Linked DNA regions of Bombyx mori. The protein of the gene in region 4 purifies or fractionates together with the protein of the main gene of each other region. This does not show direct contact. Links are inferred from orthologs where the notes say so. Each region holds a gene or a part of one and is shown on either strand. Other genes may lie near its edges.

The links.
Region 1: the proteins of DRK (region 4) and synaptojanin-1 purify together in Homo sapiens (co-immunoprecipitation; 3 studies listed by BioGRID and IntAct, counting the BioPlex papers as one, with this or other methods). This does not show direct contact. The link is inferred for Bombyx mori from reciprocal best matches to the Homo sapiens genes GRB2 and SYNJ1.
Region 2: the proteins of DRK (region 4) and src substrate cortactin purify together in Homo sapiens (affinity purification with mass spectrometry; 3 studies listed by BioGRID and IntAct, with this or other methods). This does not show direct contact. The link is inferred for Bombyx mori from reciprocal best matches to the Homo sapiens genes GRB2 and CTTN.
Region 3: the proteins of DRK (region 4) and tyrosine-protein kinase receptor purify together in Homo sapiens (affinity purification with western blotting; 3 studies listed by BioGRID and IntAct, with this or other methods). This does not show direct contact. The link is inferred for Bombyx mori from reciprocal best matches to the Homo sapiens genes GRB2 and ALK.
Region 5: the proteins of DRK (region 4) and ecdysteroid-phosphate phosphatase purify together in Homo sapiens (tandem affinity purification; 3 studies listed by BioGRID and IntAct, with this or other methods). This does not show direct contact. The link is inferred for Bombyx mori from reciprocal best matches to the Homo sapiens genes GRB2 and UBASH3B.
Region 6: the proteins of DRK (region 4) and ruvB-like helicase 1 purify together in Homo sapiens (affinity purification with mass spectrometry; 3 studies listed by BioGRID and IntAct, with this or other methods). This does not show direct contact. The link is inferred for Bombyx mori from reciprocal best matches to the Homo sapiens genes GRB2 and RUVBL1.
Region 7: the proteins of DRK (region 4) and breast cancer anti-estrogen resistance protein 1 purify together in Homo sapiens (affinity purification with western blotting; 3 studies listed by BioGRID, with this or other methods). This does not show direct contact. The link is inferred for Bombyx mori from reciprocal best matches to the Homo sapiens genes GRB2 and BCAR1.

What each region holds. Positions count from the first base shown.
Region 1 is NC_085118.1:11,391,221-11,395,987, reverse strand, and holds the start of synaptojanin-1, read left to right. Parts: upstream 1-1,840; 5' UTR 1,841-2,411; coding exon 2,412-4,767. UniProt on the Homo sapiens protein: Phosphatase that acts on various phosphoinositides, including phosphatidylinositol 4-phosphate, phosphatidylinositol (4,5)-bisphosphate and phosphatidylinositol (3,4,5)-trisphosphate. Has a role in clathrin-mediated endocytosis.
Region 2 is NC_085113.1:1,695,911-1,700,213, reverse strand, and holds the end of src substrate cortactin, read right to left. Parts: intron 2,170-4,303; coding exon 1,909-2,169; 3' UTR 941-1,908; downstream 1-940.
Region 3 is NC_085130.1:7,715,871-7,719,929, reverse strand, and holds part of tyrosine-protein kinase receptor, read right to left. Parts: intron 3,565-4,059; exon of another isoform or gene 3,395-3,564; coding exon 3,227-3,394; intron 2,723-3,226; coding exon 2,528-2,722; intron 1,416-2,527; coding exon 1,297-1,415; intron 1-1,296. UniProt on the Homo sapiens protein: Neuronal receptor tyrosine kinase that is essentially and transiently expressed in specific regions of the central and peripheral nervous systems and plays an important role in the genesis and differentiation of the nervous system.
Region 4 is NC_085123.1:5,809,360-5,813,273, reverse strand, and holds the end of DRK (DRK protein), read left to right. Parts: intron 1-1,900; coding exon 1,901-2,011; intron 2,012-2,932; coding exon 2,933-2,998; downstream 2,999-3,914. UniProt on the Homo sapiens protein: Non-enzymatic adapter protein that plays a pivotal role in precisely regulated signaling cascades from cell surface receptors to cellular responses, including signaling transduction and gene expression.
Region 5 is NC_085131.1:8,634,375-8,639,217, forward strand, and holds the start of ecdysteroid-phosphate phosphatase, read left to right. Parts: upstream 1-1,763; 5' UTR 1,764-1,823; coding exon 1,824-2,029; intron 2,030-2,188; coding exon 2,189-2,429; intron 2,430-2,620; exon of another isoform or gene 2,621-3,044; coding exon 3,045-3,240; intron 3,241-3,458; coding exon 3,459-3,548; intron 3,549-4,843. UniProt on the Homo sapiens protein: Interferes with CBL-mediated down-regulation and degradation of receptor-type tyrosine kinases. Promotes accumulation of activated target receptors, such as T-cell receptors and EGFR, on the cell surface.
Region 6 is NC_085128.1:12,885,805-12,890,619, forward strand, and holds the start of ruvB-like helicase 1, read right to left. Parts: upstream 3,065-4,815; 5' UTR 2,694-3,064; coding exon 2,553-2,693; intron 2,176-2,552; coding exon 2,047-2,175; intron 1,131-2,046; coding exon 956-1,130; intron 413-955; coding exon 210-412; intron 19-209; coding exon 1-18. Other genes in the region: importin-13, read left to right, coding at 4,465-4,617. UniProt on the Homo sapiens protein: Possesses single-stranded DNA-stimulated ATPase and ATP-dependent DNA helicase (3' to 5') activity; hexamerization is thought to be critical for ATP hydrolysis and adjacent subunits in the ring-like structure contribute to the ATPase activity.
Region 7 is NC_085117.1:10,875,827-10,879,885, reverse strand, and holds part of breast cancer anti-estrogen resistance protein 1, read left to right. Parts: intron 1-305; coding exon 306-446; intron 447-672; coding exon 673-813; intron 814-1,398; coding exon 1,399-1,701; intron 1,702-4,059. UniProt on the Homo sapiens protein: Docking protein which plays a central coordinating role for tyrosine kinase-based signaling related to cell adhesion. Implicated in induction of cell migration and cell branching. Involved in the BCAR3-mediated inhibition of TGFB signaling.

The DNA.
Region 1 (4,767 bases), on a different chromosome or scaffold from region 4:
TTGTTCTTAATATTCTTACTTTCGTACTTCTTTTGTTCGGTGGTCGGTATTTGCACATTGAATTTAAAAAGGCAATGAAAAATATCCTCAATAAAATTATATTTACACTACTTTCATGGTACGTATTTTCCCTCCTGGCTGAGCCCTTGCTCCTGCACCTGTTTTTGGGAAACTGGAACCAAGGCCACCGGTAATCCCTCAATCAATAAAAAAGGTACGTATTTTGTATTAGACACATTTTTTCCGTTCTTCTAAATTATTCCAACAGCATAAAACGAATAAAAGTCATTGACATGTCACCAAAGTATTGATTTATTATTTTGACCTTGTTTACGATTCAAAATTGGCGTATTTAATTTTGTAAGTAAATACGCCTTAAAAGACTAAAACTGGCCGCATAAATACGCTTAACCTAATGATATTATTTAAGTGCATTATTTTTGTACGAGTAATTAATGACGCACTATAAAATCACTAGAATGTAGGCAATGAAATAAATTAAAAAAATCTTTAGAAATTCATTTTGGTATCTATAATCCATTTTGTTAAATTGTGTTTAAAATCTTTAATTAGGTAGGTACCAGATGGTGGGTGTCACTGAATAGTAGATACGTAGTAATCAGAGCGTGGTTTTAAGCGATATAGGTAGGTACTTAAAAAATTCGATCATCGACTTTTTGGCGGGAACGCGAGGAGCGAAGTTGTTGAATTAATTTATTTTATCTATTTAGTGTTTCTTTAGATTTAAATGAGTAATTACGGTGGTTTATTTACTGTTTAGTATCTGTGAAAGTGCAAAAATGTGGTAAAATTAAACAAAGCAGTTGGACGTAGCTTCTCGGGATTCTCCAAAAAGTCTCAGTAAATTACCACCATTTTATTGAGATTATATTTCATCCCATATCTCATCTCATTTCATGCCATGTTTCATTTTAATAAATTTCATTTCACTTCCTAATGCCGTATCGTCTCATTGCTTCGACGATGTGGTGTTGTGTTCCAATCGTTACATAAATCAACATTAAATTATTAGAAGAAAAAAAACGCGGGAAACATTGGAATTTGGCGGACGCTGTTTTTGTGCTGAATTTGCTTTTCCTTCGTTTTTTATTATTCATAAACTTTACAGCTTAAAGGTTTTAATTAAAACGGGCGAATTATAAAAATCTTATTACTTGACGCTGGCTAACGCACAAACTGTACCAGAGCCAAAAAATAAAGAAGAAGATGAAGAAGTCGATCATCGAAAAGCAGACAAGTAATGTATTATACCTGGGTAGTCTTTGAATGAAAGTAGGTACCGTACTAATAGTATCTATTGAAAAGTAACCTCATACCAAAAAGAGTTTCAAATTTAATTTAGATAGAGTAAACGTTAAGTTGATTTCCGCCTGTTACATAACACTTGTCTTTAAATAAAGTGAGTGTACCAATCGTTAGTGTAATACTTTTATTGTTGGGTAGGTCTCGTTAACGTACTAACCGCAACGTTAACGGCGAAAATGCAAATCAAAACAGTGTTGTCATGAAATTAATGTTCGTTATTATAAGTCGTGCTAAGAGGATGGTAATAATGCATAGATAGATGTAAACATTTCATATATATGAAGCTTAATATTCCAGAAAACAATGGGTATGGGAATAAGAATATTATATAAATTTTTAAATATACCATGCTAGAAATTCATTTTTGTAACAGTTGTGTATTTTCAATGATATTTTTTCAATTATAAAATGACATCCATTTTTAATCTTATTTTCTTGTAACATGTGGTCCAAGACTCAATTGTACCGTAAATCAATATAGAACGGATTGCTGGTGTGCTGCCATAGTAATAGAGTAATAGATAAAGGTCGATGGGTTTTAACTCAGCAAGCTCAAAAATGTCCCAACACCAGTAGGTAATTACGCAATTCACAAGTTTAACGGATTTGATTTTTATTTTCCAATGCAATTCTTTTCTCGTTGAAATCGTTATGGAACTCGACTTAGATATTTTCTAATAACTGATAAATAACTAACTAACCCGCAAGACTCAGGCGTGTTTTGAACTCCTGCTTAGTCGCAGCACTCGATACAAATAAAGCGTCTTACCATTGTTTTAAAGCTATGTACGTTTACAATAAGAAAGCTTCCTGATTTCCTGATTTAAAAAGCTATTCCAAAAAGCATACGTAAAACTTGAAAAGTGTTAAGCGCTTGTCAATTTTAAGCCGTTTGTCACACCACTAGTAGCATAGATTAAATTGGATAAGCACTATTCACTATTCTATGGGTGGATTGATTTGATTGAATTCATTCTGTCCACCAAGTCGAAGATTGGTCTCGGTTATTCTCATATAAATTTATAATTGTTATTTGACTTATCTTAAAAGCTAATGGCGTGATAATCGCCAAATAGAAACTAAACATGGCTATGTCCAAAGGCTTTAAAGTTCTGGAGAAATCATCGCCCCCCAGTCCGTATAGCATAATATTACAACACAGAAACAAAGACACTGCACTTCTTTTCGAATCTCAAGCCGTTGTTTCCTTATCATCGCAAGAAACAGAAACTTTAAGGAAACAATACCATAAAGTTGCAGACGCTTATGGATGTCTTGGAGTACTTCAGCTAAATTCTGGTGAAAGCTGTCTTCTGTATCTTGTGTTAATCACCGGATGCTCTTCTGTTGGTAAAGTGGGGGATTTAGAAGTATTTAAGATAACGCAAACTCAATTTCTGCCACTGTTCTACCAATCGCAAGGTGATGATAAGGTTTCGGAAGTCCGAAAATTAATTAATTCAGGTACATTTTATTTCTCTTGGTATTCTGGCAAAAACAATGATAATCTTTTTGATTTGACTCTGTGTGCCCAAAGAAAAAGTAAAGGAGCCAACCCTGATAATAGGTTCTTTTGGAATAGAACACTGTACATACATCTAATCAGATATGGCATAGATTGTGATGAGTGGCTAACTCGAGCAATGTGTGGATCTGTAGAAATACGCACTATTTATGTTGGGCATCGTCAAGCTAGGGCTGTACTTGTCTCAAGACTTAGTTGTGAAAGGGCTGGAACTAGATTTAATGTGCGAGGTTGTAATGATGATGGAAATGTGGCAAACTTTGTAGAAACTGAACAAGCTGTTTACATTGATGATTCTGTAGCATCTTATATACAAACAAGAGGGTCTGTGCCATTGTTTTGGGAACAACCTGGAATACAAGTTGGCTCACACAAAGTAAAAATGTCAAGAGGCTATGATGCATCAACAAGTGCTTGTGAGAGACATTTTGCCCAGTTAAAGCGTAATTATGGATCTGTAATAGTTGTAAATCTGCTTGGATCTAACATGATTGGGGGTAGTGAAGGTGAGGCAACATTAAGTAATGCTTTCCAGAAACACATTAATGAATCTCCACATTCTGATGTCCTACAAATTGTTTTTGACTATCATCAGGAAGTAAGAGCAACATCCCAAGAGATAGCTCTATCAAAATTTAAACAGAATATTGAGAAATATTATGATGAGATTGGGATTTTTAGTGCAAAAGGGTCAGACATTTATAATATTCAAAAGGGAGTTATAAGGACCAATTGCTTGGATTGCTTAGATAGAACAAATTCTATTCAGACATTTATTGGTTTAGAAATGCTTGCTGTTCAATTAATGCTACTACAATGTCTTGATAAAAAACAAAATGTTAATAGATTTGAAGAAGTTTACAAACAGATGTGGGTGAATAATGGAAATGAAATATCTAAAATTTATGCTGGAACTGGTGCAATTCAAGGAGGCTCCAAACTAATTGATGGAGCTCGATCTGCTGCCAGGACTATCCAGAACAATTTATTAGACAACTCAAAGCAAGAAGCAATTGATATTTTATTACTTGGTTCAACATTAAACTCTGAACTGGCAGACCGCACAAGAATACTGTTGCCATCTAACATACTACACACTTCTACAGCTATCTTGAGGGAAATGTGTCGTAGAACGAATGAATTCACTCAACCTTCAACTCTTAGAATAACTATTGGCACATACAATGTGAATGGTGGTAAACATTTCAGAAGTCTTGCTTATAAGGATGTTTCATTATCTGACTGGTTATTAGATTGTCCAAATTCATCTTTGGTAAATACAGTCAATCTGAAGGATCATCCTTCTGACATATTTGCAATAGGCTTTGAAGAAATAGTTGATTTAAATGCTAGTAATATTATGGCAGCTAGTACTGATAATGCAAAAGCATGGAGTGAGGAACTGGAAAAAGTGTTAGGCAGAGATGCATCTTATACACTTCTGTCTAGTCATCAACTTGTTGGAGTATGTTTATTCATATTTGTTAGAAAAGATTTAATACCGCATATCAGAGATGTAGCACTTGATTCAGTTAAGACTGGACTTGGAGGGGCTACTGGGAATAAAGGTGCTGTGGGAATAAGAATGGTAATTTATGGAACCTCACTATGTTTTGTTTGTGCACATTTTGCTGCTGGTCAATCACAAGTTACAGAGCGTAATGCTGATTACACAGAAATTACTAGAAAAATTGCATTTCCCATGGGTCGCTCTCTGTACTCCCATGACTATGTATTTTGGTGTGGTGATTTTAATTATCGTATAGATTTAGATAAAGATGAAGTACGCCTTTTGGCTTCACAAAATAATTTGCAAAGGCTTTTGGAGCAAGATCAACTTTTACAGCAAAAGTCACAAGATTTAGTTTTCAAAAACTGCTTTGAAGGAGAAATTACATTTCCTCCAACTTATAAAT
Region 2 (4,303 bases), on a different chromosome or scaffold from region 4:
TGTTACCTGTACTTTTCCTTCGTACATAACTTCTTCATCATAATGCACATGCAATGCTAGAACATCACTTATGCAAATTATATAATTTTTCAGGAGAAGAATTTGAAAATTCAACAAGTTATTACAATTAAGTTATTACAATACAAGTTATTATTCTTCTCGACTAAAGAAATAAAATGATAATATTTAAACTACAATTTTAACGTTATCAGTAAAAGCAAATATCTCACTGATAACCATTAAAGAAATGGATTTTCTCAAACTCAGTTCAGTATTAACAAGAATCGCATAAGTGATATTATAGCTCTGTATGTGCGAAATGTAATTTTTAAAAACAAGTCTTTAAATCCAGAGTTTTAAGGTCTAATATGGTTTATAGGCACATAACACCTTCATTCAATGTAAAAACTCAAAAATCTTAAAAAATGTACTTAACCCCTTTATCCACTCATGTCTTCCATTATGTTACATTATTTGGTTTAAAATGGTAATTTATTAAAACATTTTTTTTATGTTTGAGAGATTACTGATGGCTCGGAGGCCTTTTCAGTTTTACCAGGACAGGTGGGCGAGCAAGGGCTCAGCCAGGAGGGGTGGAATTTGCTAACAACTGCCCGAGCGCCTCCAAAGGAGACCCAACAACTCAAGAGTAATTGCTTCGCGAATGACTACTAGATTCCGCACTGAGAAGATTCGACGAGAAACTCAGCGGGCTGATGTATGGGTTAGGTTGCACGTCGACCTCTTTGGCAAGTTCGACGAGTACGGTTACCGGGGTCCCTAAGCCTGCTTCTAGTATTAGAGCTGAAGGCGTCTAATGTAAAGGTTATTGGATCTGATACATCCATAAGGACGTGTCTACTAGGCTGCACTAAAAGTATCGGGAATGGAATATTTCCACTGTTCCTGTCATATTAAAATCTTTTTAATTGAAAACTCCTTGGTTTTAAAAATCGAATACCATTTATTTATTTAAAAAAAGATTCTCGGTCTTGTCACGAGGTTTTGTCAAACTTGTTTAGTCGTTGAGAAAATGGAATTGACTCGAGAAAATTCAAGAGCGATGATTTATTATGACTTTCGAAGTGGTTTAACACAAAAACAGTGTGTTGACCGGATGATTTCTGCATTTGGTGATGAAGCCCCATCCAAAACCACAATTTATCGCTGGTTTGCTGAGTTTCAACGTGGACGTGTCAAGCTCAGTGATGATCCCCGTCAAGGTCGTCCAAAAACTGCAGTCACCCAAGAAAACCTTGACGCTGTGCGTAAGCTGATTGGGGAAGATCGACATGTAACATACCGCGAAATTCAGGCAACTTTAGACATTGGCATGAGTCAAATACAAATAATCTTGCATGAACAATTAGGTGTAAAAAATTTGTTTTCCCGATGGATACCGCATTCGCTCTGTGAAGAGCAAAAAGCGGCTCGCGTTACTTGGTGCGTCAGAACTCTCGAAAGATTTCACGCAGGATCCTCAAATGCTGTATACAACATTGTATCAGGTGACGAATCCTGGATATACGCGTACGAACCCGAAACAAAAAACCAGTCACGAGTTTGGGTGCTCGAAAATGAGTTAAAGCCAACATAAATTATTCGTTCACGCCTACAAAACGGCCATTTTGGAGACCCCAACTTCCGAATGGAATGGTTGCTTCAATGATTGGTTCCATCGTAAGGAAAAATGTGTCAAATTTCGCGGAGAATACTTCGAAAAGCAATAAATATATTTTTAAATAGTAATGTTGGGTCACTTCGTTAATTCCCGAAATTTTCAGTGCCGCCCTCGTAGGGTGTCGAAGGTGACTTGCTCCTGCATGATCAGGATTCGGGGAGAAGTCAGAGGCGGCAACCATAAGAGGGTATTATGACGCATAGCCTTATTGAAGTACCGTTCCGACGCTAAGCATTATATTTATGAGGTTTCGAATTTATTACATAACGGTCCCCCCTCGCCCCCTTCAATCTGAGCAGGGTGGTGTGACCGCGTGTTACCATGACGATGTTGGTGATGACGTCATCAGGATCGAAAGATATCTCGTCGGGCGCGGCGGCCTGGTAGTCGTACAGCGCCCTCGCGGTGTAGCCGTCCTCCTCGTCGCCGCCCTCGTCCTCCCCCTCCCACCCCACCGGAGACACCACAATGGTGGGCTGGCGGTTCATCTGTAAAATGCAAGTCATTATCTCACAACGATTACCACAATGTTCATAAGCAGTACAAGCAGATTTTTTTGTTGCCATCCTACTTGGTGTTAAGTGGTTATCGGATCCCATAGACATCTACATGGTGACACCTACCTTGAGACATGAGTTCTAAGGGTCTCAGTATAGTTACAATGGCTGCCCCGCCCTTCAAACCGAAACGCATTACTGCTTCACGGCAGAAATAGGCGAGGCGGTAGTACCTACCCGCGCGGACTCGTGTTATAAGGCAAAGTATAATTTTTACGAGTTTGATTTTTATTACACGATGTTATTCCTTCACCGTGGTAGTCAATCGTGAACATTTGTTGAGTACGTATTTCATTAGAAAAATTGGTACCCACCTGCGGGATTCGAACACCGGTGCATCGCTAGATACGAATGCACCGGACGTCTTATCCTTTAGGCCACGACGACTTTTTTACTACTTTAAGTTGAGAGGCAGTTGTTGCTACCCATTTTACAATGGACCTCACGGCGCCCGCGGGTAGGAGGAGCTGATGATGATATATTGCGTCAGGTCAAAACCCAATTTGCGGGGTCGCACGCGCCAGCTCGACGTGTACGTGGTGCGCGATGGCGGACCACCTTTACTGGGCCGCGACTTCATCGCACAATTTGAACTGCAGCTAGCGCCCGTATATAAATGTGCCACTACCCGTGACACGTTGAAATTAATACAGGAACAATATCCCGCCGTGTTCTCGGACAAGTTAGGTAAATTCAACAAATATAAAGTTAATTTGAAATTAAAAGAAAGTGCTCATCCTATATTTTTTAAACCACGGCCGGTCGCATTTGCTCTGCGTGAAAAAGTGGAAAAAGAGATAAACCGTTTGGTGGGACTGGGAGTACTCCGACCAGTCGAGCATTCCGACTACGCGTCACCAATAGTCCCGGTACTGAAACGTGACGGTTCGGTCCGTATCTGCGCGGACTACTCTGTTACTATAAACAAGCAATTAGTTGTAGAACAGTATCCGTTGCCTACCGTAAACGAGTTGTTTTCTAAACTATACGGGGGCCAGAAATTTACTAAATTAGATTTGTCTATGGCCTACGGTCAGTTTTGTCTGGATGAAGAATCCCAAAAGTTAACTTGTATCAATACGCATAAAGGGATCTTCGCGTATACGCGTTTGGTGTTCGGGTTAGCTAGTGGGCCATCAATTTTCCAGCGAGCCATGGATACAGTGCTAGCGGGCCTGGACGGCACGCTGTGTTTATTGGACGATGTGCTCATAACGGGTCGCAATGACTCTGAACATCTTGAGAGATTGCATCAGGTCCTACAACGGTTGCAAGACGCAGGATTTGTTCTACAAAAGTCTAAATGTCAGTTCTTTCAAGATGAAATTAATTATTTAGGGTCTACCATTAATAAAGAGGGGCTAAGGAAATCACCCGATAAAATAAAAGCAATATTAAAGGCACCGGCGCCTACGAATGTTAGTCAACTACGATCTTTCTTAGGCTTAGTAAATTATTATAGGAATTTTGTACCGAATGCATCTTGTATTCTCGGACCATTATACGAACTTTTAAAAAAAGAAACAAAGTGGCGTTGGTCTAAGTTACATGATAAGGCGTTTAATGAAATAAAAAAAATGTTAGCATCCGATAATGTATTGGCCCATTTTAATCCTAATGCAAATATAATTCTCACTGTAGACGCGTCGCCCAATGGATTAGGTGCTATTCTATCACAGGTGAGTTCCGATGGCCAGGAAAAACCTATCTCTTTCGCTTCGCGCACGCTCAACGACGCCGAGAAAAGGTACTCACAAATCCAAAAGGAAGCAACCGCGATTATATTTGGTGTTCGTCGATTTCATCAATATTTGTACGGCAGGTCAAATCCATTTATACTAAGGACGGACCACAAACCGCTGCTCTCAATATTTGGCCCACAACGAGGCATCCCAGAAGTCTCGGCAAACAGACTTCAAAGATATGCAATTTTTCTTAGTGGTTATAATTATGTAATCGAGTACGTGAAGAGTGCAGATAATAGTGCGGACTATCTGTCTCGTGCGAGTCTACCGGCCGGCGCGGGCGCGTGCGGTGGTCGAGGCGGGGGGACCAGGCGCGGAGC
Region 3 (4,059 bases), on a different chromosome or scaffold from region 4:
TGACATTAGTTTTACCAACAGCTTCAAGTGTAATTTAATACTTTCGTAATGCATGCATTAATTTCATGCATGCAAATTAGTTTCGTGCCCTGCGCGATTTTTTGGTGAAACTAATGTCATGCAACTAATTTCATAGTGTAAACGCGACGTGAAACTAATGTCGCGAAAGGGCCTGCGCCGCGCGGACGTGTGTATTGTTAGTCCGGACGCGCTTCAAGCCTTGAAAATGGCAAACCAACGATGGAGTACAGAAAAAAAATACAATTCAGTAATGAATATCAGCGACAAGAGTCTCTGGGACCCGAAACACCTACAATATAAAAATAGGCATGCCCGAGATGCGGCCTACAAAATAATTATGGAAGCCATGGAGATGCAATATGTCAAAGAAGCATATATTATATAAGCATTTCTTTAGCTACATTGAATATAGCAAAATATAGCTTTGATGCTGGCGGCGCCATGGTTACTGCGATACTGTGGGATTCACGACACTAATTTTTTAACGAAATTACTTTCGCATGTATCGAAACTACTTTCGTGCAACTGAGTTCAACGTGCATGACACTAATTTCGTAATGTAAACTCCGCATTACGATTAAATCTCGGGAACGGCGGGAACGCGAGGAGTGAAGTTGTATGATTTGTTTTATTTTGTCTATTTAGTGTTTCTTCAGGTTTAAATGTGTAATAACGGTGGTTTATTAACTGTTTAATATCTGTGAAAGTGCACAAATGTGGGAAAATCAAACAAAGCCGCTAAACGTAACTTCTCGGGATCCTCCAGAAAGTCCACTGAAAAAGTCTCGGTAAATGACCACCATTTTATTGAGATTATATCATGCCATGTTTCATATTAATCAACTTTATTTCATTTCATAATATCATCGCCACCGCCCTGCCTATTATTACCGTGAAGCAGTAATGCGTTTCGGTTTGAAGGGTGGGGCAGCTGTTGTAACTATACTGAGACCTTAGAACTTATATCTCTAGGTGGATGGCGCATTTACATTGTAGATGTCTATGGGCTCCAGTAATCACTTAACGTCAGGGCTGTGAACTCGTCCACTCATTTAAGCAATAAAAAAAATCATAGATAGTATGCGACCAGCGACTGGTTATATGTCGATCTGGAGGGTAGTTGTGTGAGGTTGGGGCTAGGAAGGCGAGGAGGGCGAGATGCCCAGCGCTGATGCATATCCGGGGTGCGCGTAAAGGGCTAATCATGCCGGTATTAAATATAGTGCCCAGGTATCGGAGTACGACGCTTAAATTTGTGATATTCAGATCCCTCACCGTACGGTTTCTCCAGTCTTCCTCCACCAGAGACCAGCTCCATGACCTCCCGGTTGGCGCATCCGGTGTACGGCATCACGCCTAACGAAAATACCTCCCATAGCAGCACGCCGAATGACCTAAGGATTGTATATTCGTTTAGAAATTGGTGATCAAAAAGACGTATAGTTTTTTTTAATTATCGAAGAGGGACCCAGCCCGCGGCTTAAAACACGTGACTACTTCGTGGCAGAACTAGGCAGGACAGTAGTACCTATGCGTGGGGACTTACAATACTGCAAGAGATCGCTGATGCCCATTCTTCGGTAAATCCCTAAGTTGCCTTACGGCATCTGCGGCATTTATTGGAAGGCGATATTCCAGAGCACCACCCAGCGTATTGGCTATATCTTTTATATATCTAAAAATGAATTGCTTTTCGCTAGTCTCGCTAAAACTCGTGAAAATGCTCGGAATTAAATAAAAATAATAATTTTGTTTTCCCTTTGATGTGTCCCCCGTCGGACGGATTCCTTTTGTTTGTTTTAAGTTTATTTTACACAAAAGTTTAGGTCTTTTGATTTATCGATTGAGGCACTACAAAGTCTGGCGGGCCAGCTAGTAATGAATATTAATGAGGGTTTTGGAAAATAATACTGAGGAAGGATGTTCCAGGAGTGAAGGTCTAGATTCGGGCAAGATTTCAACTTGCACATGCGCACCTATCTCACAGAGGCTGCTTGCGCGATACAGATTGGCGTCATACATACATCTTTCATTCTATGCTTTATCTAACATCAAATTAACTACTATTTGTTTTAAGGTAATCCGTGTGTCCAACCGTAAATCCAAACTTGACTCAAAGAAAGGCTTGGCCAAGTACTTCGCAGTATCTATCATTGGTGCTAATGGCTTATTTTCATATTTTTTTTACCAAATTATAAATTATTATTGGTACTATTGCTTGTGTTATTTATATATGAATGGTTTGTGTTTCTACTTTAATATGTGCTCAAAAGGTGAGTTTTCGTTGTTCGCCTTTTTACGATATGTATTAATGTCAGATTTGAATGGTGTAGAGTATAAAAGGAAAAGACAGGGGAGTTCCCTCCACTCTATATATAACTATAACTTATATCTCAAGGTGGTTGGTGCATTTACGTTGTAGATTTCTATGGGCTCCAGTAACCACTTAACATCAGGTGGGCTTTGAGCTCGTCCACCCGTCTAAGCAATAAAAAAAAAACCTTACCAGACGTCCGTCTTAGTGGTGAAGACTCCGTCAATGTAAGCTTCGGGTGGCATCCACTTGATGGGCAGCATGGCCTTCCCGCCCTTCTTGTAGTAGTCGGCGCGGTATATGTCTCGAGCCATACCGAAGTCCGCTATCTTGACCACGCGGCCCGGGCCCCGGGACGTCAGCAGACAGTTCCTCGCCGCTATGTCCCTGGGAAGTTTAAAAGTCGTCGTGGCCTAAAGGATAAGACGTCCGGTACATTCGTATGTAGCGATGCACCGGTGTTCGAATCCCGCAGGCCGGTACCAATTTTTCTAATGAAATACGTACTCAACAAATGTACACGATTGACTTCCATGGTGAAGGAATAACATCGTGTAATAAAAATCAAACCCGCAAAATTATAATTTGCGTAATTACTTATGGTAGGACCTCTTGTGAGTCCGCGCGGGTAGGTACCACCACCCCTCCTATTTCTGCCGTGAAGCAGTAATGCGTTTCGGTTTGAAGCGTGGGGTAGCCGTAGTAACTATACTGAGACCTTAGAACTTATACTTCAAGATGGGTGGCGCATTTACGTTGTAGATGTCTATGGGCTCCAGTAACCACTCAACAACACCAGGTGGGCTGTGAGCTCATCCACGCAACTAAGCAATAAATAAAAAATCGTGATAGACAAAAGACCTTGTCGTAATCGTCCTTATATCAACTTACCTGTGTATGAATCTCTTAGTTTCCAAGTACCGGCATCCCTTGCAGACGTCCACCGAGCAGAGAAGCAGGTCCTTCATGGTGAGGGCGCTGGCCCGCTCCGGCTTGGGGCGACTCTCGCGAAGGAAGTTCTTCAGATCGCCGCCGGCCAGCAATTCTAGCACAATGAACCTGGGAACGGCGTATATGACAAGAAATATAGGTCTTTCACTTCAAGAGTGACAGTGACAGAGATAAGGAAGCGTGTGCGGGCATGTATTTACCGTAAGGGAGGTCACTTTGAACAAGATTTGTAAAATATGTCGCAAAATTGATTAATAAAAGATACACTTTACCTATCATCATGTTATTCATTTTTTTGGGAGAATCTTTCCTTTTTTGTAAATAATTTCATGTTTTTAAATAGCTAATAAAACAAGGAAGTTTTTTTCTAGTAGTTTGTACGCTTAAATGTTTAGTTGTTTTTTTCAAAATAAATCCAGTTTTCTATCGACTAAATTAGAGAATCAAAACAAAATTTTATAAGAAATCACTTGCTATTTTAAAATGTTTAAAATTCGTTCCAGTATTAGTATTAATAAATGCTAGTTGATGTATTGGTAACTGATAAAAATTCAAACAACTTAATTCAAAACACTAGCATTTTATTTAATGTTTTTTTTTTGCAGTTATTTCAGGATTTTTTTAAAAACAAAACGAAAAATATTGAATATCTCGATAACGAGACACTTTGGTATTAGGGACATTAGGGTTAATTTTGTTGGAAATTAGATGTATTATCACATCCCAAAAGGAATACGTCGAATTACAAGTCACCCTGTATAAATAGCCAAAGA
Region 4 (3,914 bases):
TTCAGTGATGATCCCCGTCAAGGTCGTCCAAAAACTGCAGTCACCCAAGAAAACGTTGATGCTGTGCGTAAGCTGATTGAGGAAGATCGACATGTGACATACCGCGAAATTCAGGTAACTTTAGATTGGCATGAGTCAAATACAAATAATCTTGCATGAACAATTAGGTGTAAAAAAGTTGTTTTCCCGATGGATACCGCATTCGCTCTGTGAAGAGCAAAAAGCGGCTTGCGTTACTTGGTGCGTCAGAACTCTCGAAAGATTCCACGCAGGATCCTCAAATGCTGTATACAACATTGTATCAGGTGACGAATCCTGGATATACGCGTACGAACCCGAAACAAAAAACAAGTCACGAGTTTGGGTGTTCGAAAATGAGTTAAAGCCAACAAAAATTGTTCGTTCACGGAGTGTTGCAAAAAAAAATGGTGGCCACGTTTGTCTCCAAAACCGGCCATGTTACGACTATTCCTCTTAAGGGACAAAGAACGGTTAATGCAGAATGGTATGCTAGCATTTGTTTGCCACAGGTCGTTTCTGAACGCCGTAAAGAGAACTGCAACCGCCGCATCATCCTCCATCACGACAATGCGAGTTCTCACACCGCGCACAGAACAAAAGAGTTTTTAGAGCAAGAAAACATAGAATTATTAGACCATCCGTCGTACAACCCCGACCTAAGCCCTAATGATTTCTATACTTTCCCTAAAATAAAGAATAAATTGCGTGGACGGAGATTTTCATCACCTGAAGAAGCTGTGAACGCCTACAAAACGGCCATTTTGGAGACCCCAACTTCCGAATGGAATGGTTGCTTCAATGATTGGTTCCATCGTATGGAAAAATGTGTCAAATTTCGCGGAGAATACTTCGAAAAGCAATAAATACATTTTTAAATAGTAATGTTGTGTCACTTTGTTAATTCCCGAAATTTTCAGTGCCGCCCTCGTAATCACTTTTTAGATCATCAATTTCGTGAAAGACTACCCTAAAAAAAATTGAATAAAATAATCGACGAACCAGTTACTGTATCTTGAAGAGCACAATTCGAAAAGTTTAAATATATATAATATAATTAATTATCCTTATGCTGCTCCTTTTACAGCCGATATTTATTTGTCCCATTTAAAATTGCTGAATATAAAACAAAAATTTGTATAATAAATAAATAGTAGTACAGTATATTGGAGGGAATAGAGACTAGAATTAGAATAGGGACAAATCTGGCATGTCACAACAATACTTTTGTTTAGTTGTTAGATTAAACTTAGTTTTTTTATTTTTTTTTATTGCTTAGATGGGTGGACGAGCTCACAGCCCACCTGGTGTTAAGTGGTTACTGGAGCCCATAGACATCTACGACGTAAATGCGCCACCCACCTTGAGATATAAGTTCTAAGATCTCAGTATAGTTACAACGGCTGCCCCACCCTTCAAACCGAAACGCATTACTGCTTCACGGCAGAAATAGGCAGTTGAACTGAAAATGACTTTTATTTAGTGTTTAATAATATTAAATAGTTTAAATTAGTCATCAAAGTTTTGTAACTCATTAAAGATATTAAAAAGTTAATTACCTAAAGTTAAGTACCTACCTAACAACTAATAATGCCACCCCTATCAAAAAACTATTGTCCCCATACGTAAGCTGATTCACCCCAAAGTCAAAGTGAATCGGGTCAAGCTAGTTTTTTTTCAGTTTTTGTGTTTGTTTTCTAATGAACATGTATAATGATATAATCTCAATTTTATTGGTATTACCCTAAGAAAAAAACATTGAAAATTTGTGTTGGGTCCCGATTACCCCCAATCTACGGTAACAGATGTAGATGTAACCTACTATTAACAATAACGAATGAAATTGTTTCACATTTTAATTTGTAATACGATTTGATTTCAGATGTTGGTGCAGGCTCTATACGACTTCACCCCACAAGAGGCTGGCGAGTTGGAGTTTAGACGCGGTGACGTCATAACCGTGACAGATCGCTCCGACCAGCACTGGTGGCAGGTAAAGTGAAAACACATTACAATTTAAGGCCAGAGATTATTTGATTTTACTTATCGAGCCAAATTTACTGGTGGTAGGTTTTTTTTCCTACTTAGCTGAGGGGCTTAAGAGGCTATTTCAGCGTAACCTTTACTAGTAAGTGAGCTCACGGGGCTCAAACCTGACGACGTTGCTAACACGAACCCTAGCAAGAGATGTGCTTCGCAGAATCTACCGCGGATCGGAAACGCGACCCATTGACAAGATCCGGCGAGAAATTCAGTAGGCTGTGTCTGTGACGGGTGGTAGGACGTCTTCTGAATCCGTACGGGTAGGTACCACCAACCTGCCTATTTCTGCCGTGAAGCAGTAAAGCTGCTTTCAGACTACGGTATAGTGCCATATAGTTTAGCAGCCTATAGTTAGCCAATAATTTATAGTATAGTACAGTGTGAACGTGTCCATAGCAATGTATGATGTGCGATATTGTTGTGCTATGAGCTATAAACTATATGCTATTATATTGTAGCGTAGTCTGACAGCGGCTTAATGCGTTTCGGTTTGACGGGTGGGGAAGCCGTTGTAACTACTGAGACGTTAGAACTCATATCTCAAGGTGGTTAGTGGCATTTACGCCAGGTGGGCTGTGAGCTCATCCACCCATCTAAGCAATAAATAAAAAGCTAATGTATTTCAGACTCATTAGCGTAGCTTTGTTCGTTGTTACAACAGATGACGCGGGACCTTCTCAGTGGGTCGCGTTTCCGATCCGGTGGTAGATTCTGCGAAGCACGACTCTTGCTAGCGCCAGTGTTAGCAACACTTCAGGGTTGAGCCCCGCGAGCTCACCTACTAGTTCTGTGAATCTAGAATAACCCCTTGATGTTACTAGAATATGTAGGAAAAATAATAATTACAAAGCGTTGATTTCGTTTGTCGCAGGGCGAGATAGCTCACCGCCGCGGGTTGTTCCCGGCTTCGTACGTGACGGCGTACCACTCGTCATAGTGGGCGCGCGCCTCATCCCCCTCCCCCCGCCTCTCTACCGCCGCCGCCGCCCCGCGTTCCCTCACACCCGTCGGACCGGACCCAGGCACGTACGAAGGCCGCACATCGACGCCCGCTAAACAACGTCCACTGCTGTATCTAGTAAGTACATTGTATCGTATCGTTCGTCGGCCGATTCAGATATTATTATTACATCGAAATATTATTAGAAACGTGCGTTTTTTTTAAATATTAGTCATACTAAAATCGGATATGTTTGAGCTGCGAACGGGGAAAGACCGCCCGAAGTGACGGGGACGGCGCCGGTGTCCCGCCCCCCAACCCCCCGGCCCCCTCAAGAGAGATTTCGGTTTTTGTGTAATATTTCGTGAGTATTTTGGTGCTTTCGTGTACTCTACAGCGTATCGTGAAAATTATGAATAAAATTTTTTTAATGCGTATTTTGTAATAGTAATTTTGCGAGAGATTTACGTCGTCGGTCCATTGTTTTTTAATCGTGTTTTTTGAAAAGAGAGAGTAAGCTGCCTTATTTATATAATTTCTTGCATCGCAGTGTAAGAATAATTCGGTAGTACAAAAAGTTTATTGGTATTTTTGTGTCGTGTTTCGTATCGATTTTAATGTATTCGGTAACTTTTTTTTTTTTAAATCTGATTTTGACAATTTACAAAATAATAATATTAGAGTGATTTTTATATCCTCGGTAACGTGCCAGAATTATGTTATTTTGTAGTTTTTTGAAATGTATTTTTTTTAGTAATAGAAATATAATAATAGGGAGCTAATGCTACCCAGTTATTGCTGGTGTCTCCCCATCCGCGTATGTAATGTAGATTTCTTTTAATTTTTATTATGTTTAATTCGATGTGATTTTAAATGTTTCGACGCTATTTAACCATTATTAGTTTCTAATGTT
Region 5 (4,843 bases), on a different chromosome or scaffold from region 4:
GATTATTTATATGATTATATAGAGTCCTGTACATATTAAGAATTATTATTAAATATGAGGTTTATATTGCAAACCATTAAAATATTGTTAAGTTATAAATTCAACAGTTGACAAATGTCGTCAATAGATGTCACAGGCTAACAAAATTACATCGCGGTAGCGTTGTGTGTAAAAATTTGTATAAGAAGTCCAAAGTAATTATGAATAAATCAAGAACCAAACGCATCAATGTAAAATTGGCAGATTAAAGCAAAGTGTGAACAAAGTTAGCCTGTTTAATTTATATGTCTGACACCCAAAATTTGTGTTCCCTTCCCTCGCCCTAATAACTCCTCGAAGACGATTCTTCATAGACCTGATCAGCTTTTGAATTGATTCTTGTGGGATACCTTCCCACTTCTCAATCAACGCCGATTTCAGCTCATTCAGGCATGAAGGAGCAGAAGTTCTGGAACGAACCCTATTCTTCAGTTCATCCCACACGTGCTCAATAGGATTCAAGTCAGGGCTGAGCGCAGGCCAGTCCAATGTGGCGATATAGACTTCTTCGAAGTATTCAGTTGTTCCACTGGCAGTGTGACAACGAGCGTTATCGTGCTTAAGGAGGAAGCTATCACCGGCATATCCCGCATAGGGAACGACATGTTCCAGCAGAATATTGGAAATGTATCGGTCCGAAGTTAGACCGCCTCCTCGTCCCCCGCCAGGCACGAAAACAAGCTCGGTTTTACCGTCGAAGGAAATGCCGGCCCACATCATACAAGAGCCGACCCCATAAGCCACTGTTTCAGCGAAACAGCACTGCGCAAATCGCTCCCCAGGCCGCCTGTAGACCCAACCTCTTCGGTCGCTACCATGCAAACACATCCTGCTCTCGTCGGAGAACAGGATTTGCCTCCATTGCTCAACCTCTCAATTAAGATTGGTACGAGCAAATTGAAGGCGTGCTTGTCGATGAGCTACCGTGAGTTTCGGCCCTGTGACAGGCCTTTTTGGAGTCAGATTCGCTTGCTTGAGTCGTCGAAGAACTGTCTACTTGCTAGCTGCTACCCTACGAACATCTCGGAACTCCTGTTGGACGTCGACACCAGGTTAATGCCGATTTCGGAGAGAGGTTAACACGATAAAACGGTCATTCCTCTCCGATGTGCCCCAGCGCCGTCCAGATCTTGGTCTCGAGATAAAGCTACCAGTCTCTTGAAAGCGCTTGCAAACTTTTGAAACACAGGAATGGCTTATTTGGAGCCGACGAGCGACAACCCGCTGGCTGAGCTCTTCTTGCAATAGGGCTACGATTTGTGCTACTTCTGTAGGTGTTGTCCCAATTGTCGTACAAGGTAAAGGGTCAAAAGTAGCCGAGATATGTACCGGTCAACGTGTGAAAGTCGACTGATAAAGAAAATCCGATAACAGGTGCTTTTAGAGGGGTCAATAGGCCGCAACTCGCGACGTATCAAGCAATTGAAACACGTCTTTTTCGTTATTCCTTCACTTAATCCAAGATAACTTCTTAAATACTGGTTTGATTTTAATTAATTTGGTATCAGTTTAAGGTTAAGAGCTCAACCTTTAAAATGATCTCATTTTTATGATTATCAAAAAAATATGTAGTACACAAGATCGCGCGGAACCAATTTCAAGTAAGTGATTCCAAACTTTTGCTCGCGAGTGTAGTTGAAAGGATGGTTGTTGGTATCATAAAATTATCATAAAATCTAAATATCCATGATCATAGATTATACACTTAATATTCGAGATCCATGATTGTCAAATGACATTCTGATAAATGTCAATGTTCAGTCTTAACAAACCTAAACTGTCAAATGTCAAAAAGTTCAATTCTCATTTTCTCTGTTTTGATGCCGGTTCTGATAACGACTAATATTATAAGAAATATTTTATGTAAATGCTTATTTCTGGGGAAAATGGCTAATTTGCCTCCACGAAAAGTTACTTCAGCTAGCAAATCAAAACAAGATGCTTCTCCACTGCAAATACTTTTGCAAATGGGTTTTAGAAGGCAAAGAGCGTAAGTTTGTAGCGACACTTTGTCTATATTATGTGGTAATAAATGTAGTAGTAGTATCTAGTTTGGAACCACAATAAATTGTACAAGCAAATTTAAAGAAATCAAAACTTAATTGGGCCACAGTAAATATAATACTACAATATAATTTAAATTGCTTAGGTTGAAAGCTTTAGCAGCAACTGGTAACCGCAGTGTTCAACTCGCCTCTGACTGGCTATTGACACACGTTAGTGACTCGAATATAGATGCTGATGATCCTCGCGAGTATATCTTCTATGCCAGTCCTACAGGACCTTTACTCTCACAACTCCTAGAATTCTGGGATAAGTCTAAGGCAACGTGTGGTTGGAATGGAGCTCATAATTTTTTACCTCACATCACTTTAGTATCTTTTTTCAAGGTAATAAAAAATATATCATACATTCCTGTTGATTCCTCTATCAATTTATGCATAGTCCCTGTAAACAAACATTTATAAATAATGTAAGCCTCATTTTATTTTTTGTCAGATCTTTGAATTGTTTAGGTTTATTTTAATTTACTATATTTTGCCACCAACAATTTATTTACAATTTAAGCTATGGTTTTTAGAGTTAAATGGAAACTGGGCTATAGGTATTATTTCAGATAATAGATATGTCAATCCTCATCCCCACTTCCAGATATAAGATATGAGTTACATTTGTAACAATGGCTATTTTAATTCTGCAGCTAATTTTAAAATTTAGTCAGGTTCTACAAAAATTGGATATTAATTTTATACACATTAAATATATAGATAAATTGATCCAAAAAAGAAGACACCACAACCATCAATGGTCATTGTTTTTGGAAATGCTTCGCTTATGCCTTGTACATACATATATGCAAAGTAATTATTATTTATTACAAATAATTATAAAGAATGGATGGATATAGAACTGATGTGATTGATAAATGTTTATTATTAACATATCTTATGAAATAATAGTACATATCTAAACAAATAATCGCAACAGTAAAAAAATATCCATAGGCACCCGATGATACATCTCTTAATTTAGCAAAAGCAGTTCGGCAAGTTGTCGAGAATGTGGGTGACCCACCTAAATGCACTCTTAAGCTCGAACCCTATGTATCACACAACTTTATGGGCTTGTTTATCTCTGAAGAACATGCTGAGTATTTGAAAAAAATTGCAGTGCAATATGTCAAGCAAGTGTCTTCAGTTTGTAAGTATATCTATAAAAGAAGAAATCAATCTAAGAAAAAATATTGTAGATTCTCACTATTTTAATGTAAACTTTATAGTTAAATATCTATTACCATTATTAGAAACAGCATGTACTGGTTATTTCTAGAAATTAGGTACTGTTGACTTATTTGACCCTAATCTGATTATGAAGAAAATAGTCTTTATTTATTTGACATTATGTCTGTGTTACTTCAGTGGGTGTAATGGTGGACACATATGAACATTTGGATGCATTAGGAACATGCTTTCCGTGGTGTGCAATGGCACAAGAAAAGAATCTTAAATGTAAGAGTGGATATTCTAACAGCTTGCTTTGATGTAATAACATTTTTGTGACTATTTTTATTCTAAATACAAAGCAGTAGTTTCTTGACTTGACTATACTAAATATATTAATGTTTTCGTGGCTTAATCGGTAAAGTGTATACATATACTGATACTAAGATTTGCATGTATGTACCTAACGAACAACTTCCATGATGAAGGAAATCAAAATAATAATATGCGTAATGAAACTGAATTAAGTTTGAGTAATAACTAGTTGGACACTGGACTCTGAGACCACTCTGAAAGATACTTTCATGTTGTCTATTGCTTCCTCAGAAGTGTTCATGATTTTCAGTTTTAAGGGTGAGGTATTCTCTGTACTTTTTTTTTTGTTTATTGCCTTACAGGCAGATGAGCACACGGCTCACCTGATGGTGAGTGGTTACCGTTGCTCATGGACGTCAGCAATGCCAGGGGTAGAGCCAAGCCGCTGCCTACCGTTTAATACTCTCCACAAGCCTTGTTTAAAGAAGGACATGTCATAGCGCTCGGGAAACACCATGGAGGGGAGTTCATTTCATAGCCGGATGGTACGTGGCAAAAAAGATCTCTGGAAACGCACTGTGGATGAATGTAGTGGCACCACGTAGTATGGATGAACTTTACTCCGGTGGCGGGAGGTTCGATGGTAAAAACGAGATGTTGGTATCATCTCGAACAATTCCTCTGAGCACTCCCCATGGAACATACGGTACAAAATACAGAGGAAACTGAAGTCCCTCCGCAGACCCAGAGGTTCCAATCGATCCGTAAGAATGGGATTATCAACAATCCGAACGGCTCTTTTCTGTATGGAATCAAATGGAAGTAGCTGGTATTTGGGAGCCCCGGCCCAGAAATGGGAGCAGTACTCTACGCGATGCCGGACCTGTGCTTTGTAAAGCAAAAGTCTTTGTCCAGGCGTGAAGTACCGCTTCGCTCTGTTGAGGACTCCCAGCATTTTTGACGCCAACTTGGCTTTGCCCTCCAAATGACTCCGAAATTGGACATCGCTCGAAATGTCGAGCCCAAGTATCCCAATATTCTTGGAAGGTTGTAGGGATACACCTTGGAATTGCGGCGCCATGACAAAGGGGTCCTTCTTCGCAGTGAACGCGCAAACCTGTGTCTTCAACGGGTTGAATTGAACCAAATTTACTTCACCCCACTCGGAGGCTCGCCCCAGAGAGTTCTCCACTTCAAACACAAGTTTTGAATGTCTCTCCTGCACTACGCTCCGTGAGAGAATCTGATGGCCGATATATCGCACATCC
Region 6 (4,815 bases), on a different chromosome or scaffold from region 4:
CGGAACATATTCTTCAGCCTAGGAAACAAGTTCAAAGTTGATTATCATCCAAAGAGGGGATTAAGAATTGATTGTATGAGTCAGAAGTAGAATTACGAAAAGTTTGGAGGAGATTGATTGATTCAATTTGATTGATTGATTGTTGATTTGGTATTAAATGATTCTAGTAAGTACCACTACAACTAAATTTAAATGCACCATGTACATACCTCAAGGTCAAATTCAGTAGCAAAAGTATCACTCCTACCCTGTCTCTTCACTGCCCCCGAATTAGCTTCAATGTAAATGACATCCCCAACTTCAACCTTTTCCTTTTGTAACGATTCATATATAGTTGGATCAAGTTTAAGTTGTTTGGTACCCTTGGCCGTTTTTAGTCCTATGATCACATGAGATACTGTTTTTCCATAGCCTTAAAAAAAGAAGATATCAAAAATATTAGGTAAAGCAGATATAAGCCAAAGAATCAAGTCAGAGCAAGTCAAGTCAAAATTTTACAGTAATTGAAGCAAGATTATTCATTGCATGATAGATCCACACAAAAAATCAAAACTAATATTATGAACTTTGGTATCAAATTTTTGACCAATTTCAAAGCTTCATGTCAAGGGGAAAGCCAACCCACTGCCTACAAACTGTGCTAAGAGTAGTTGTAGTTAAGGTTTAGACAAACTTATCATTTTACTGAATGTGCAACGGACTCCCAACCTTCAATTTAAATTGCTGTTCTTAAAATACAAACTGACTATAGCCAATATCTGTCAATTAATTTCATTTTAAGTTCAATCATAGTAGATTATATCCACTTTGGCTTTAGCTATCTAGAGACCCTATTTAGACCCTTAGACCTTCTTATATCAATATAAAAAAAAAAAAAAAAAAAACATTTAATTCAGACCCTCTTAAGTCCATATTAATATATAAAAGAATAAAAGAATAATTTTGCTATAGTTACCTCCAGCAGGATTTTCTGTTTCAACAGGTGTTAACTCAGTTACTTCACCCTCATATACTTCTTTGGTTTCACGTATACGCAGGCCTATAGCACGTCGAAAATTCTCCATTAATACCTCTGTTTTCTTGATCTCTGTGCTGTAAACTTCACTACCAACCATTGGACAGAAAGGAACCTGTAATGATGAACATTTTCAAATGTTTTTATGCTTGTTTTATGACAAATTGATGATGATGATATTTCTATTCATATACTTCTAGCTAAGGACACTGAGGAAACTATGATAAGTTTATTATATGTAATGTACTGTTTAGCATATTCATTAATTTTCTAATGCCAATGTATATTAATAGGAGCCTATTAATCATTCTTTCAACAGTTCTTGTTCACTGGAATTTACTATTTTCTTAGTAGCTGTTTCCTAACCTCTATCTAAAAAGTGTGCGAATAGGAAGTCTTAAGTGGCTGCTTCCACCATAATCGGTCAGTAAAATGTTAACACATGGTCAGTCACACTATGGTCAGTATGCTCTAAACCGATGCCATTGAGATTGTCAATAAAAAGACTTTTAAAGAGAAGTCGTCGTGGCCTAAAGGATAAGACGTCCGGTGCATTCGTATCTAGCGATGCACCGGTGTTCGAATCACGCAGGCGGGTACCAATTTTTCTAATGAAATACGTAATTAACAAATGTTCACGATTGACTTCCACGATGAAGGAATAACATTGTGTAATAAAAATCAAACCCGCAAAATTATAATTTGCGTAATTACTGGTGGTAGGTCCTTTTGTGAGTCCGCACGGGTAGGTACCACCACCCCGCCTATTTTTGCCGTGAAGCAGTAATGCGTTTTGGTTTGAAGGGTGGGGCAGCCGTTGTAACTATACTGAGACCATAGAACTTTAGGTGTGTGGCGCATTTACGTTGTAGATGTCTATGGGCTCCAGTAACCACTTAACACCCGGTGGGCTGTGAGCTCGTCCACACATCTAAGCAATAAAAATAATAATAAAAAAACACTCATTTTAGATATGAAAATAAGAAGGTGACAGCCCAAGTTTATATTGTCAGACTTAAGTAAGAACTTACCTTAGTTCCAAGTTCCTGAGCGATGGCAAGAGCTATAGCAGTTTTGCCAGTACCAGGAGGCCCTGCCAAGAGTAAAGCTCGCCCGGCCATTTTCTTACTTCTTATCATATCTACAACTATCCCTGCAGCCTACAATTTTTAAAATTAATAAAAAATAGTTTACAAAAAAAAATGTATTTGTATAGATGCAATAAAAATACCTGTAATTTTGTGGTCATTGGACAGTAAATGATAAATAAAAATTAGATTGTATTAAATGTGTTAGGTTGCTTAAGATTACATTGAATTACTATTACTAAACTACCTAATCCTACAATTCAACATTTTGTTATGTATATTGTCATATTGCCTCCAATTACCATTGATCAATAATTCCATAGCAACCAAACATTGATAACCTCAAATTATTTTTCTCGAACTTCTGCTCTACGAGGTTGATCTAATAAAACTTATACAATTTCGAGTGTAAATTTATCGGCAATTTTTTTGGAAATTTTATTGTATACCTCACGTGCAGACTCTTGACCCACGAGACCGGCTGCCATTTGAATAGGAACACCATTTTCATCCAACCCCAAGCCTTTTATATGACTGTGAGCAGAGATCCTTTGCGTTTTAGCTGTGCTTTTCACTTCTTCAATTTTCATGTTGAAAGCAGCTTTACTCTTTTAAACAGTAGACGTTACTTTGTATTTTCTTTTTAGTACTCCAACAGCAAACTTGAGCAAACTTACTTTTTAAACTACACCATACATTATACAAACTACACTGTACAGACAATATATTAAGTTTATAATCTATGCTACAGACCATAGATTAGGTATACGCTTCTTACAGACTACAGCACATAATGCCGGCCACTCACATGCGCGCAAATATTCGTACATTGTACGAATGTTTGCGCGCATGTGAAGGGCCGTCAAACATTCATTCGCAAACTTAGCGGCTGTGCAAATGGGTTCGGTACTCAATTTGCGAACCCGTTTGCGCTTCCTCCTACACTTGTTTACGAATGTCTCACGAATTTCTCCTCCTTTTTAATTCGTCAATAGAATATTGAAGAGAAAAAGAGTTTTGAATTCTTTCCCAGACATCATTAACAGCCATGCTGTTTTTATGGGATTTCTTTTGATTAAGATACGCTACACAGTACCTGGACGTCACGATCTATGAAAATAGCGAAACGTCCGTTGCCTTCGCTATCCTGGGCGCAACTGGTCACACGAATGTGTGGGAGACTACGCGAAGGATCGCGGTTCGCGCGGTTTCATGTCTGTTAAAAAACCGACACAGCTTGGAAAACCACGAATGCAGCGAAAACTTTGCATAATCATTTGAAAATTAACAAAAATTTCAAAATTAAAAAATTATAGCACACACACGTCATCTACTCTTCTATTTGCCCTGAGTTACTAAAAAAAGAAAATTATCTATAAATATAGTTTGAATACTATTATTTTAATTAAAAAAAAAATTCTATATGATTTTTTATCTCTTTTTTTATTATTATATTTCTAATTTTCGTAAAAAGATAATGTAATACATACAAAACAAAAGCCATTAAGTTTATTAAGTCAGAGCTTCTCTGTAAACGATAATTGACGTAGTTTTATTTTTTTAAATAAAAGAACACTTACTGTGGCATAACTATAATAGTTATACTGCAAAAACACTGTAAATATTAATGTGTTCTACAAAGTCGTAGTACATTATTTTATTCTATCATAAATAGTTTTCGGTTTTATTCTATCATCAAATCGGTTCAGTAGTTTCGGAGCCTATTCAATACAAACAAACAATCAAATCTTTCCTCTTTATGATATCGGTATAGATGTATATAAGTAATATTCACGCAATGCTAACATTTTATAGAATTTTGTGTTACATTTTCGTTCTACTATTTTTACCTGTAAAAATCCTAACGTATCGCCGACAAATCTTATAATATATTTTATGCAGAATTATAGTAGTCGTTGATTCCGGTCCGGCGGTAGATTCAGCGAAGCACTGTTTTTGCTTGGGCTAGTATACACCAATTCGTCAGGCTGAGCCCCGTAAGCTCGCCTACTCACCCGTTGAAGCTGATAGGTATAACTATAGCCCCTTGAAGCTACCAGCATAAGTAGGCAAAAAAAAAAACAGTGGTTGGGTTCGTTTGACATTTAGTAAAGTCAAATTTCACATAATCCGGTAGGTAAATGCCAAAAATTGACAAAATTACAGAAATGTAAAATCGGAAAGATAAATTAATCAATCCAGACAATATTGTGTATTGATTAAGACACAAAAATCTAACTTAAAGATAGTTTTAAAACAGTGAGATAGATGAATTAGGTCTAAACTTATTAGTTCAAGTAAAATCAGGCCTTTTTTCCGGTATATATATAGCATTAGATTCACTGGAGAATCTAATTTGAAATGGAGTATACTGTGCAGAATTTGGAATACGCCGTTTCTGTATTCTATAACGGAGAACAAACCGAAAGGGCCAACGCACATGCGTGGCTCACAACGGCTCAGAGAGTTCCCGAAGCCTGGAATTTTGTATGGGATCTTCTTCAGCCAACTAAAGTTCGTATCTTAAAATTAATTAAAACTAATTAATATATTATTCTACATATTATAAGGAATTCATTACTTCTCGTTACTTCTAATCCAACACTAGTTATCAATTTTAATATTGTGTAAACTCCCCCCTACAACAACCCCTACTATTTTAATCTATCCAGGAATATTCTTCTACAAATTCTTTAAAGAAGTATTAAATTT
Region 7 (4,059 bases), on a different chromosome or scaffold from region 4:
AAAAGACAAGAGTTTTACTCTCGAAAGGATTTTATTTAAATCCAAAATATATTGGCTTTTCTGCTTGAGTGTTAAGTTTCGAAGTGTCGCCTCCGAATCAGTTTTCGATTCGTTTCTTGATTGATCATTATGATATTGGCATGTGGTATTTTCCGAAGATTATCTTCTTGAGTTATTAAGTCCTTATCGCGGATTAACAAATCACAAATTTGTTTAAAGTAGCTATAGCTATAGCATTAATATCTAATTAAGGAACTCTAAGACCCTTCCTTTGTTTCTGAAAGAATTTAATTGTTATATTGCAGTGTATGGCGCGTGCTTTGTATGATAACATTGCGGAGTCTCCGGACGAGCTAGCTTTTCGAAGAGGCGACCTGCTCACCGTGCTGGAGCAGAACACCGGTGGCAGCGAGGGCTGGTGGCTGTGCTCGCTTAGAGGAAGACAGGTATTTTTATTTCAAATATTCGAAAATTATTCAATATAGATTTTCATTGGTCATTATTGCATAGATTTCATGACCGTCCGCTATTGTTTGTCGAGAAACCGTACTATCGTTATGATTCATAACCTAAAGCACGAAACAATTAAATCTCACGTAGGCACGAATGAGTAATTATTGTTTTGTTGATAGCTGTAGTGTAAGGTCGTAATTTGTGACGTGTATTTTTCAGGGAATATGTCCGGGCAATCGGCTGCGGATAGTGGCGGGCGTGTTCGACTCCAGTGGAGCGACGCAGAGGCGGCGAACGAGGCCGCCTGCGCCCGTAGCCCACCAGCCACTTCCCACACAACAATCTCCCGCGTTTACCAAAGTAAGTTTTTAGGTATTTAATAATTTGGTAAATAAAGTATTGTTTACAAGTCCAATCTTATAATATATTAAACAAATGTATTTCTTTCATTGATCCATAGAGCGCTTACACTCGCACCTTCGTTACTTAAAGTAGACCCATGAACCCGATCTGAGTGCTGTCACTTCATCCGCGCTAATTAGTAGTTAGGTACTTAGTATTTCCAGACAAAACGCGATTTTTTGTTTGTTACCCTTTTGCATTCACTTTAAACCTTTATAGTTGATTCCTATCTCTTAGATAGGTACATCACGTTCGTATCGTGAAACTCATTTTGGTTTTTGTTTCTGAACGCTCTCCTATGGGATCCAGGTGGACCATAAACAATACAATTTGAAGGTACACGAAAAAGGGAAGATCTTCCACCGGGCGGATGATATTCCTCGGTAGACGGACGGTCCAAATGTTGTTCGGAACTTGTATATATGCAAACTTATCCTGAAAATGTCCTAAGCGAGATTCATCTGTTTATTTAATGTTTTGTATGATGGCTGCCCGCTACACAATCGTCTGTACAGATCGATTTAACACAAATTCAAATTTCAGATAGAGGAATGTTCACACTATGACGTGCCCCGAGCGCCGATGCCCGTGCAACGCATCGCGACGTACGATTGCCCGCGACCTCTCGGCGACTGGTACGACGCGCCTCGCGCCCCGCGCCCCGCCAGTGCGGACTCCGCTTGCAGTGGGACCGGATCCTTAGCTTCGGCCACATCGAGTGCGTCCGCGAACTCTGCCAACTCTGGAAGCTCGGCGCACTCCGCTTCGAGCACTTACGATGTTCCTCGGACACGTGCTCTTCCTTTGCCTTGTGACGCCGCATTGGAAGCATTAGAACGATTGCAGGTGCAAAAATTTTCTATTTTAGTATTATTTTGACGATTTATGAGGTTATAACTCAAATTATTCTTTTAGATGATGATTTGTGGTTTTGTTTATTATTCATATACCATATTTGTGAGTCATTTATCCTTTTGAATTACAAATTTGTGCAAACTCAATTGTTATGTTAAAATATAATAATATTATTAGCCTAGATGGGCAGAGCGGCTCACGATTCGCCTGGTAATAAATGCTTACTACCATAAACATTTTGTTTATATAGTAAGCATATATTGACCATATATAAGCTGGCATTTTCCAGCATCCAGCGTGAGACATGAGGTCAAAGTTTTAATTGGATTAAGCTTCGATTCCGATTCCACCTCTTGCAGCCTTAACGTTGCAACAATTATTACAATATTTAATGTTATTTACTATTTCATCATCATCATCACAAACGTTCATACTGAATTTTACCATTTAGGCCAGCTAATATTGGTTCTGATTGCACCACTTTTAAAATCGAACAACACAATACGACAATAACATAAGCCGCCATTATAAGACTTAGGTACTTTATAATCTGTACCGTAAAATGGGGCGATTAGGGACAAATTCCAACTTTATGAGCAATTTTAAGGTAGTTGTTGATGTATATAATGCTATATCAGGATCAAAATGGTTGAGTCTTGGGAGCATCTTTGTTGTCTAATTTAAAATTTTGCAACTAGCATTCCAGTTTAAGCAAAAAATGCAAAAATAGGTGTAATCCCTATTTACCCGAAAATTGCGGTTAATTGGGACGAAATGAGAAATTTGCTAGGGTTGGCACTACTTTTATTTTTATATATAGTTTTAATTTATTTACTTATTTAGTTGCACCAACAAAGTGATCATCAATAAAAAAAATTGAAAACTGACAAAAGTACATGGCAGACATCACCTCAATTATAGGTGCAATCGACAGTGCATTAACAACAACAAAAAAAAAAATATATATATATATTTATTTATACATATATAGTGGGCTTTCTTAGAAACGGTTTATATTTCTCCGTTCTTGGTAAGTACTTAGGGGCTGATATTTCTATCTGGGTTAAGAGATTAGGTGTGTCGGGTATTCCATGGATTAATCAGATGAATACCCCCACTCTGAACAAATATTAAATATTTTATTATGTATTACTTAGACATTTTTGTCCACCTTGAGATTTCATTGATCTTGTTACATGTCTCTGCAAAATCGACTTACTTATATTAAATTGCTTATCTATTTCAACTAAAGACTTATTCCCAATTTCGCTTCGAATAAACCAGATTTTTACCAACAAATTTAAAAATTATTTTATAACTACATAGACAACCCTACAAACCTGTACCTATTTATACTTAGGTCGTTTCCATTTCACGTATTCTCATCCCAATTGACCCCTTTTTCGTTGTTATTTATACCTAAGACGTCCCCAATATCCCCAATAACAACAGATTTTTACATGTATTTTTATTTAATCAAATACATTAAAACCAATAACAACTGAGACTTACCTTTAATATATATGCTGGTTCAAACACTAAATAACGTTTATAAATCATAGTCGTCTTCTATTATTATCAAATAAATAAAAGAGAGCAAAGTTTCTAGCACTAAAATAATTACCACCACAGGAAGTTAATTTGAAACGCGATTTTTTATAAGTTAGCAGCTATTATCATGAATATTCAGAGTTGTTTTGTGAACTTTCAACATTCTACTATTAAACTACAAAAAATGGAAGATTTTGCAACGAATATAAAACTTATATTGAGCGTCGAAAGATTTTCCCGGTTTTTTCCCGATTCGCCTCTCAACCCCTAATCGCCCCATTTTACCGGTATTTAAAATCACTAGTACCGTAAAATGGGGCGATTAGGGACAAATTCCAACTTTATGAGCAATTTTAAGGTAGTTGTTGATGTATATAATGCTATATCAGGATCAAAATGATTGAGTCTTGGGGTCATCTTTGTTGTCTAATTTAAAATTATGCAACTAGCATTCCAGTTTAAGCAAAAAATGCAAAAATAGGTGTAATCCCTATTTACCCGAAAATTGCGGTTAATTGGGACGAAATGAGAAATTTGCTAGGGTTGGCACTACTTTTATTTTTATATATAGTTTTAATTAATTTATTTATTTAATTGCACCAACAAAGTGATCATCAATAAAAAAAATTGAAAAACTGACAAAAGTACATGGCAGACATCACCTCAATTATAGGTGCAATCGACAGTGCTGATATTTCTATCTGGGTTAAGAGATTAGGTGTGTCGGTTATTCCATGGATTAATCAGATGAATACCCCCACTCTGAACAAATATTAAATATTTTATTATGTATTACTT